Coturnix japonica: one gene and its partner. The protein of the gene in region 2 purifies or fractionates together with the protein of the main gene of each other region. This does not show direct contact. Links are inferred from orthologs where the notes say so. Each region holds a gene or a part of one and is shown on either strand. Other genes may lie near its edges.

Region 1 (4,814 bases), on a different chromosome or scaffold from region 2:
GTTTGACTGTTCCACCTCTTTTTTTAGTGGTTTAGTGGTTACACAGCTTATCCTGGTGGCTCATCATCATTTGTATTTGATTGGAATTCTCTGCCAAGGTGAAAAGAACAGCTTATACTCTGTGCTGCTGCTTTTCTCCATCCCAGTGATGGTTATCCTCAAAATGAAATGCCCAGCATAACAAGCAGGAACAACAACTCTTTCCTCCCTTTCCCTCACTGGAAAAGCTTTCAGTCTCCTGCCTGTGCCTCTTTTCTGAAAGAGGTGACGTTGGAAAAGGTGGATGGTAGTTGAAGCAGCTCCTTGTGTCTTACACAAGCATGTAGATTATTTTATTTAACAGTTACAGCTGGAGGGGAAACACAACTAGTTTTTTTTTTTTTTTTTTTTTTTTAAACAATATATAGGGTTGTTGTCTGCTCTGCTTTTGAAAGAGAGGTTAGGTATCTATGAAAGCTTTAGGGCTAAAGCCCCTGAGTTCCAAAGTGAAGAGGGATTTAACCACTCTGCCTTCCCTGATCAGGAAGTTGATTGCTCTGACTTGGGTCTGTAGATACTTATAGGGAACTCTGGGCTCTCTCTGCACTGCAGCATAAATCCACAAGGAGAATTTTTGTAGCATGAAGTACTGCTTATGGAGACCAGCCTTCTTTGATAACTTCCATACAAGCACACAAAAATAATTACTTGCTGTCTTCTATCTTGCAGACATGTGCACATCGCTATGAGAAAAGGCAGTATGTAAACACAGTGCAGGAAACCCGGGATATCATTGGAAGGTGCTATGTGCTGAGCCAGGATCTCACTATTAAGGATGATATGGATAATGGAGTATGGAGTTTTTGTGATGGTCGCTTAAGAGGCCATGAGAAGTTTGGTTCCTGTCAGCAAGGTGTTGCTGCGACTTTTACTAGAGACTATCATTACGTTGTGTTTGGTGCCCCAGGCACTTACAATTGGAAAGGTATGACCTGACTTCCTTCCTGCTACATCTAGACTGACCCCTTTCCTGTTTCCTCTTAGATTTTTTGCAAATGTTTCATCCTAAGGTTCTTATTTGCCTTTTTGGGGGCTGGGAGGGGGCAATAAGCCTTAGAGGGTTCTTACAATTTTACCTGGTTTTCACTCCTCTATCAAAAATATTCACTGAAGGTCCTTTAAATATTTCTAAAGGATTACTTATGAATGGATAATGGAACTTGGCTTGTATGTACAGCAACTTTTTCCCTTATTAGTCTTATGGTAAGATTGAGTTCTTGCTTTGACATTTTGCAATTCAACAAGTTACTAAATTAATTACAAGTTATTTGCCCAATCTTTTCCTCCGAATTTGAGCACGTTAGATAGCTGCACTCAGGTTTTTTTTATCCTTCAGTATTCTCTTTATTCTTTTTCAATTCTGTAGAAAAGAGTGCTTCCCAAATTCGATACTGGAGGACTGCAGGAAAATAACTGTACAGAGCAAAGCTACCTATATTCCTATCTAAATCTGTAGATATTTACTCAAGTAAAATTCCATGAATAGTTAGACTAAGAGACAGGGACTCTGTATCATGTATAGGAAATAATCGAAAACTAAGGGGGAAGAACTTAAGATTTTTCTTTGTACGAAGCATCTAAGAGGCCAGCCCTGTCTTTTTTCTTATTCATTTTTCCCCTAGCGCTTAGTTATACCAACAGCTGTAAGTGCTTCCCTTCTTTAGAACACTGCTCCTTAAATCATTAAAGTTTCTCCCCTTGTACAACTGTGCCTGCTACAAGAACCACACCAAGTCTTTGAGTTTAGCTCTGGCACAAGATGTACCCGTGTGAAGGTTTAATCTTCCACATAGCTGTTCCTGTCAACACAGTCTGACCAGGTACTCCGTTTAGGGCTTTACCTTAATGCAGAGAAGTGCTCTGATAGTCTACCAGCCATAAGTTTTCCAGATCATTGCATGACATCTCCATGTACTAGAGAAGTTCTGTCACACAGGCTGATCTTAGAAATTTATGGCCTGTTAAAAGGCCGATGTGGTAGTCTATGTTTGTCCCATTTAAACAGCACTCACTCTCTCATTCATGGTCATTAGTACTAGCTGGGAACCATTTATCAATTATTTTTCTCCCTTACCATTCTCATTTGCTTTTATTTTATCATTTCACTTCTTCAGGGGTGGTTCGTGCAGAGCAAAAGAATCAGACATTTTATGATCTGGGTATCTTTGATGATGGGCCTTACGAAGTTGGTGATGAGAGCCTCCGAGATATGAATCTAGTTCCTGTTCCAGCTAACAGTTATTTAGGTAGGACAAAGTACATGTGGTAAAATCTCTTTAGGCTTCTTAAACATTTGTAATCTGGTCTGATGCAATAATATGGAATGGGAGAAGAAAGCTGTTCATGTGAGGACCCACATTTACGTGTAAGATGGTACTCTGCTGAGGTACCTAGAAGTGCTGCTAAAGGAATAAGATATTTAAGAATGATAATGAAGACCTACACGACCTCAGGGAGTGATTATAATCACTGTCTAATGGTGAGTACTGTGTTCAGGACTGTAATCCTTGGTCACAAGGTCACTGCTATGTGGTATCAAAAAGTCTACTAACATTTAAGTCCCCAAATTTAATTTTCTGGCCTGAGTGCTTTTTTTATTTTTTATTTTTTTAATTGAAGGTTTAAAAACCACAGTAGCCTTTTTACAGGCTTTTGAAATAATGTAACATGAGTAACATTAATGTTCTAAGTGTGTGTGTGTGTGTGTGTGCCTTGCAGAGGAGAGTCTCAAGCTTTGTGCAAACACAAAAGCAGAAATATGTCTATAGGATAATGAATATTCCTGTACACTCACAAGATAAATCGGTAAAGAGATCGGGTTACTCTTCATTTTTTAGAATGCCTTTAGTGCAATGTATAAAGAACGTTTCTGCTCTACTATACTATATATCGCTATACTAATCTGGTGCTTTTGGCTTAAGTAGCAGATACAATTTGGGTAACTCAAAGCTGGAATTTTTGTGTTAATGAGAAGTTGAACAAATAGGAAAGATGTTAACATGAACGTAAGCTGAGTAAAGAGCCAACTTGGAGCTGCGTATCTATTAGAAGAAATAAACTTGAGCTAAATGTGAGTAGTGGTTATGGGGTGTAAAAAAATTCTAAGAGATTATTTCAGAAAGGCAAACTGATGGTCTTTTCATGTGGCAGAGTAGTGCTGTAGTGGTGTCTTTTGCTGTAAACAGTTTACTGTGTGTCTGTCTTACTAAACTGAACTTGTGCACTTTCATAATAAATGCAGTGTTGCATTTATCTAAATATAAATGCTGCCTTTGATTTGTCATAATCAAAACTACTTGAGGGCAAGGCTGGCATTCCCTGTCATAGCTGTTCCCTATATGTAGACAGTAAATATATGTGGTTATAGCTGCTATGCTCAACTGTTTTGTCTTTTCAATCTTTCACTCATATGTTTACAGGTCTTCTGTTTTTGACAGCAGTGTCTGACACTCATCCAGATCAGTTTGTATACAAAACGTTGCCTCCCAGCATACAGGTGGACAAATCAGTGGATGTAATGATGAATAGCTACTTAGGTTTGTGACCACCTGAGGTGGCAGCATCTGGTCACACAGTCTTCAGACCTTTAACATGATATTCTCCTTTCCATCCTCATTATAAATACATCGCAAGTGAAAGCATGTGACAGCAGGGATTCAGATGAAGAGTAACCTGTAAAATAAGCTGGCTTCAGAGAAGCGCTGATTTGTGATACATTTCTCCAAACCCTCTCATCTCTCACACAAAGTGGACTCCTCTGCCTGATTTTTTTGAAACTGTCTCATTGTGAATTGCTGTAATTGAGAATTTCAGTAGTAGTGGTGAACTGTTTCAGAAGGGAGATTACTATATGCTGGCTGCAGTGTTCTTCCTTGCAGCGTGCATCATCTTTCTTTGAACTTCATTGGCTATGTTGTTATATGCATTATATTGTTTTTGTTCATTTTTAATGTACTTTTAAATCTACCAACTTTTATAAAAGTACTTGGGACAAAATTCATTTAGACGTGTCCTTTAGAGCTACATTAAATTAAAATTGCCAATTTCACCACTACTGGATAAAGTTATTCTCAAATACTGTATTACATCATTTGATGTAGAACGTTAAGCATGTACAGTACATCTTGCATGTTTGCAACAGAGCTTATTGACTTGTACATAGAAGTTTTGTAATGATTTTGCTGAAGGTGAGGTACTCAAGCTATATTCAAGTGGTAATGCTTAGTCTTTTCTAAGCTGATATGTTTTTAAAAAAATGACCTTGTATTTACTGTCTGCAGAATGGAGGGCTGGGTGAGCAGTGCAATAGTGTATTTTGTGGGGGAGATAACTTAAATGGAACATGTTGAAAGAGTGTAAACTTACAAACATGCATCCACCAGTTCAAAGAGAAACATAGAATTGCCAGTATATCATACTCTGTTTCAGAAAACTTCAATATGCCACTTTAATATAGTAGGGTAATTTACTTTTCCTGTTAGCCATCCAAGCACTAAGTTCTTGTTTCTTTCTCTGTTGAAGGTTTCTCTTTGGACTCTGGTAAGGGAATAGTCTCCCAAGATGAGATGACTTTTGTGTCTGGTGCACCAAGAGCCAACCATAGCGGAGCAGTTGTTTTACTGAAAAAAGAGAAAAATCAGAGAGCGCTTTCACTGGAGCACATGTTTGAAGGAGAAGGACTGGCCTCTTCTTTTGGTTATGATGTGGCTGTTGTGGATCTCAACAGTGATGGGTATGGCCTTGGTTAACTCATGCTGCCTATATAGGATAGCAGA
Region 2 (4,814 bases):
ACAGCAAAGAACCATACTGAATATCATGCCAAAAATCTGTAAAGAAAACAAATTATTTTATAATTATATATTATAATTATTCGTTAGAAATCAGAATGGGGAAAAAACATTCTTATCAAAGTGCAGAAAAGCATAGATACTTCCTGGTTCAAAATGCATGTTAACAATTTATTCTGTAGTTTATGACCCCAGGCCTCCTTTCCCTCTGATCCTCAAATTTCAGTTAATTCTCACCAACCCCCCATAGCCTACATACTTCAAAACAGATCAACTACAAATTCAAGTCAATCTCTTAAATATCAGATCTTCTCAACGTATTTAATTTCATTTGCATCATATTTGCCTCCCAAGAAAGGAAAGAAGTGCAATTTTTTTTATTAGCACTGTTATTTCAGACTTCTAGTCAATTTGAGAGGAAGTAAACAGTTTATGTTGCCAAGCCCATGTTTTCAACCTGCACACTCCACACTCACTCAATACAACTTAGCCAGTGCTAACACTACAAGGAGGCAGATCCTAATCCAAAGTAGAAGCATAGAGTCCCTGGGGTACCCCACACACCAAGTTGTTTCAAGGACCCACAGCATACAACTTTACCTTACAGGTACTTATGATCAGCAGAACAGGCTCACAGACTATAGTTAATGTCTGGCACTGTTCAATAGACTTGTACTCTAAGCACCCTTGGCTAGGCAGCAACCATCTAATCTGCAAACTCACCATTATCACAGCAACACCAAGGCCAACTGCGCCAATGACATTCAGTTTTGAATTAAAGATATCATCAATGGCTGTAGGGCATGGCTGAAAGGAAACCATATTTGTTAGTTTTTCATGCATATTGAATCACTGATTTGTTTGCTTACTATAGAGAAAAAGAGCAAGCTCACAAAAGCTGCTTAGAGCTGGCCTTTTCTTTCTTTCTTTCTTTCAACATTTTTCTGGAGATCTATGGATGTTCCAATATAAATATATAAATATAAATTAAATATCATTAAATATAAATCATTAAATATAAAAGTTTAAATCTGAGTTTGTAACCCTCTTAAATGCACCTTGTAAAAAGCAGCACTCCCTTGTCAACAGTGTCAGTTAGATCAGGTGCAACTGTTGCTGCACCAGAGTTTGCTTATTAATAATGGCTGTCAGCACTTAAGCTGCAGTACTGCTCAGCCCTTCTCAAAACAAATCTGAGGACAGAGTTCATACTTCCAACTACTTTTATATCTTTACAGACATCCCATAAGTACATGGTGCATATGAATGAGGGGATCTGCATTGCTTGCATAAGTAGTAGGCTGCGTGCAGATTTATACCAGTGTCAGTTTAAAACTGCCAGGACAACAAACTACCATTGCAACTAAAAAGGATTCTAAGTAGCCTTATTCCCTTAAAGGTGCACAGTGGCCAAGACAAAGAACAACAAACTTACACAGAGGTATAAATCTCGGATATTAGCAGCTGGTCTCTTCCCCCCCACCCACCCTATGCTATCCCAGTAACAGACCACAGTGAGATGCTACATACCACTTACTTTATAGTTTCATATCTAAATGGATTTGAGGATTATGGGAATATAACAGAAAGAATGAATCAGTTAAAGATTAGTACAGTACTGATTTTTCTGGTTTAAGTCATGCTATCAGTCAGCCACACCATTATATTCATTTAGAGTCCATCTACTATTTTTTTTTTCTACAGTTGGGACTAAGCCCTCAACACATTACAAGATGAAGTCAATAGTCCAAACTGAAACAGAATAATAGCAGATATAACCTACATTCTTCCTCAGTTACACTCACATATTGTAGCAAACACACTGTATGAACAAGACTAAAGACTGAATCTGAATACAGACTGAAATTTCTCTAGCAGGTGTTTGAAAGCACAAAATTATCTGTAGAGAGAGGTGGAGAACAAGTGATGCATAAACAAGTCAAGATATGAAACAAAATTTCTGCATCATAACAAACTCAGTTTCTGTGGGAGAACTAGTACAGGCTCTCCTGGAACATAAAGGTCACAAAGCGGTCATAAAAACTTCAGGAAGAGAGTAGAAAAAAACCCTATAAAAGTGCCTCTCCTGTCTGTGGTATACAGGCATCACTGCAGCATTATTTCAACACTGGAATCTGATCCATATTATTTGTTTATGATGTAACCACCCAAGCAAGACACCAATGTGCTACCTACACTCTCCTCTCCAAAAATGGAAAACTTCTCACTAAAATTCCAGACATGCTCCCTTCTCACATTCTCCTCCCTAAGAGAGGCAATAGCTTCAGTGCATATCAGGAAGGCACTTTATGACAGCAGCACTCCAGACAACAAAATCTAGAATGTTTTATGCAAACTTTTTGCATTAATTTGTTCATCATGCCCCTGAATATAATGACATAGGCTACAACACCATGCAGATATAGAGTACTGCCTTCCTGATGAGCTTGCTTGTTTTTGTAGAGGGAGACTGTAGGTTTTCTACAAGTGGATTGTGGGCTGCCTATTAAAAATGACAGGCATTTTCCACGCACTGCAAGGTTTTATTCAGAGGTCTGCTTCTCGTTCTACTAATTTGGTAGATTTATTGGAGAGTTAAGTCATGAGTTACCATTGTTGTAAATGACTCAGCCAAAGTCTTCTTTGGACAGGTGTCCATCAACAGCTGTTCAACACCTCCAGTAATACCACAGCAGTTCAGCTACAGCAGAAGACAGGAAAAGAAAACCAAGTTACATTTGTTTCCTCTCTGTACTTGATTAAAGGAAGAATTAGATTGCATTAGCTATTATTACAGACCTTATGCAGTTTGCTTAGAAGTCTTGCAAATCTGATTAATTTAAAAGACTTTTTAAAACAAGGTCTACAGCAAAAGACAAGATTCCAAAAGTAAGAGCTTAATCTCATTAAATATACATATGCACACACCCCAGTTTTGGGGGCAACTTGGTACTCCTTACAGCTGAAAGATGAACTTCTTAAACAAATGTAACTACACATACTGTGGTACCTTCAGATCAGTGCTAGAGCTCTAGAGTTTCTCAGCTTGCTTTTAAATTTATTTAGGAAATGAATTGGTCTTACTTCAAGGGGAAAAATGTATACTGGCATACAAGAAGAGCTGCATTTTGTTACTGCTCCTTTGGTTTCTTCTAGTTATCAAGGTACTAGATTTGTACAGGATTATGGATGTGTTAGAGAACAGTGTTAAACAGTATTGCTACCTAGTTTTATATTAACTACATACTTACAGCAAAATGGAATGCTTTCAAGGTTTCTCTAGCAGCTGGTTGAGATCTCTTTTCATAGGTTTCTCTGTAGAAATCCTGTAACTCCTCAACAACCTACAAGATAAATAGTTGTATTCTGTTAATGTTTTACTTGATTAATAACTTGTTTTGGATAAAGCAGTCATTAAAACTTCTACAGTCTACAACACATGGTATTTTGACGTACAGAAATAGAGAGTGGAAACAGGGTAGACAGCATTACTCACCTAGAACAAGTAAGCCTAAATGGTGTACACACATTAAAAGCTTGACCCAAACAGATAAGCTTCACAGCTTCCCTTCAGAACTATGAGCTCCTAGGAGGATTGAGAAAACTAAGTTTTCTCCATTAGTTACACAGAATTATTTCCTACTCATTGCTGTACTCCAGAAGTCACTACATTCCTCAGTTGCATAATATAAGCAACAAAACAATCCTGAACCAAGTACTCAATTTGGAAACAAAAAAAAAAATAAATAAATTGAGAGTTATAAAGCAAAACTGGATCCTATTCTACAAAGTATATCCAAAATTTTCAATTATTTCTGCTGTTTCTAAATGTTTGCCAAAAAGTCTAGAGCCAAACCTACATTAGAGTTTGCCTAGCATAGGAGGCCAATAGTCCCACATCTACCAACATTTCTACTCTTGTGACCTGCAGCACCTTCACATTGGCTAGTTTTGCCCACATGACTCTGGTGATTAAGCACAAAACTCCTGAACTATTAGACAACAATAATCCGTGCTATTTGCAGCCTGGTATGGAAGGCCTCACCACAGGACCTGCACCAAAAGTGCAGCCAGCTCAGTGCCTTGTTGTTATGTAAACTCACATACACAGGCAATATTCAGAGTATGTGAACATCCACAGTGGTGATATCTGAGAATATCAACTTGAGGCAAGAACACAGAACAGTCATAGCTTAGATATGATATTTAGCCTTTAACAGCAAGCTCCTTCCTAAAAATGGTAAGACCTTACTGAAGGCTTGCTTCATTTCACAGTACAGACACTCAGAGGGACCTTGGGTTCTGGCCTCTCTGCTACAGTCTTTTTAATTCTTAGTATTTAGTTTCTCATATATGGCTGCAACACTTTCTCCCTCCTCCTCCAAATTACATAGTAACTGGTACACTTTTCACTAGACATCTATGTTTCCACAGGCACACAGTCCTCTCAAATTTAAAAAGAAGCAGTCAAAGGACAGCATTAAAGGTTAAGAAAACTACTACCTACAGCTTTGGGAAAAAGTCTTTGCATTTAGAAGCTGTGACACTGAAAGAATAAGAAACTAACAGACATGGTCTTTCGAGTGAAGAACTTTGAGGTCTCAGATAAGGTCTCATTGATTGCTTCTGTTATTACTTAACAGCGACCTACCTTGTCTTTATTTGCAAATCCCCAGATGGCAGTAGCAATTTCAAGGGCAAAAATCACAAAGAGGAAGATAAAGAACTAGAAGAGAATGATCACATAATTAACCAACACCATAACATTAAAAGAAAATAAAAAAAAATTTAAAAAATCCAAAAACAAACAAACAAAA

What was found. Proteins that work in one complex are often made in the same cells at the same time.
Region 1: the proteins of CD9 (region 2) and ITGA6 purify together in Homo sapiens (co-immunoprecipitation; 3 studies listed by BioGRID and IntAct, with this or other methods). This does not show direct contact. The link is inferred for Coturnix japonica from reciprocal best matches to the Homo sapiens genes CD9 and ITGA6.

What each region holds. Positions count from the first base shown.
Region 1 is NC_029522.1:15,836,837-15,841,650, reverse strand, and holds part of ITGA6 (integrin alpha-6), read left to right. Parts: intron 1-708; coding exon 709-964; intron 965-2,153; coding exon 2,154-2,285; intron 2,286-4,560; coding exon 4,561-4,771; intron 4,772-4,814. UniProt on the Homo sapiens protein: Integrin alpha-6/beta-1 (ITGA6:ITGB1) is a receptor for laminin on platelets. Integrin alpha-6/beta-1 (ITGA6:ITGB1) is present in oocytes and is involved in sperm-egg fusion.
Region 2 is NC_029516.1:67,954,942-67,959,755, reverse strand, and holds part of CD9 (CD9 antigen), read right to left. Parts: intron 4,724-4,814; coding exon 4,649-4,723; intron 3,342-4,648; coding exon 3,249-3,341; intron 2,699-3,248; coding exon 2,609-2,698; intron 805-2,608; coding exon 721-804; intron 37-720; coding exon 1-36. UniProt on the Homo sapiens protein: Integral membrane protein associated with integrins, which regulates different processes, such as sperm-egg fusion, platelet activation and aggregation, and cell adhesion.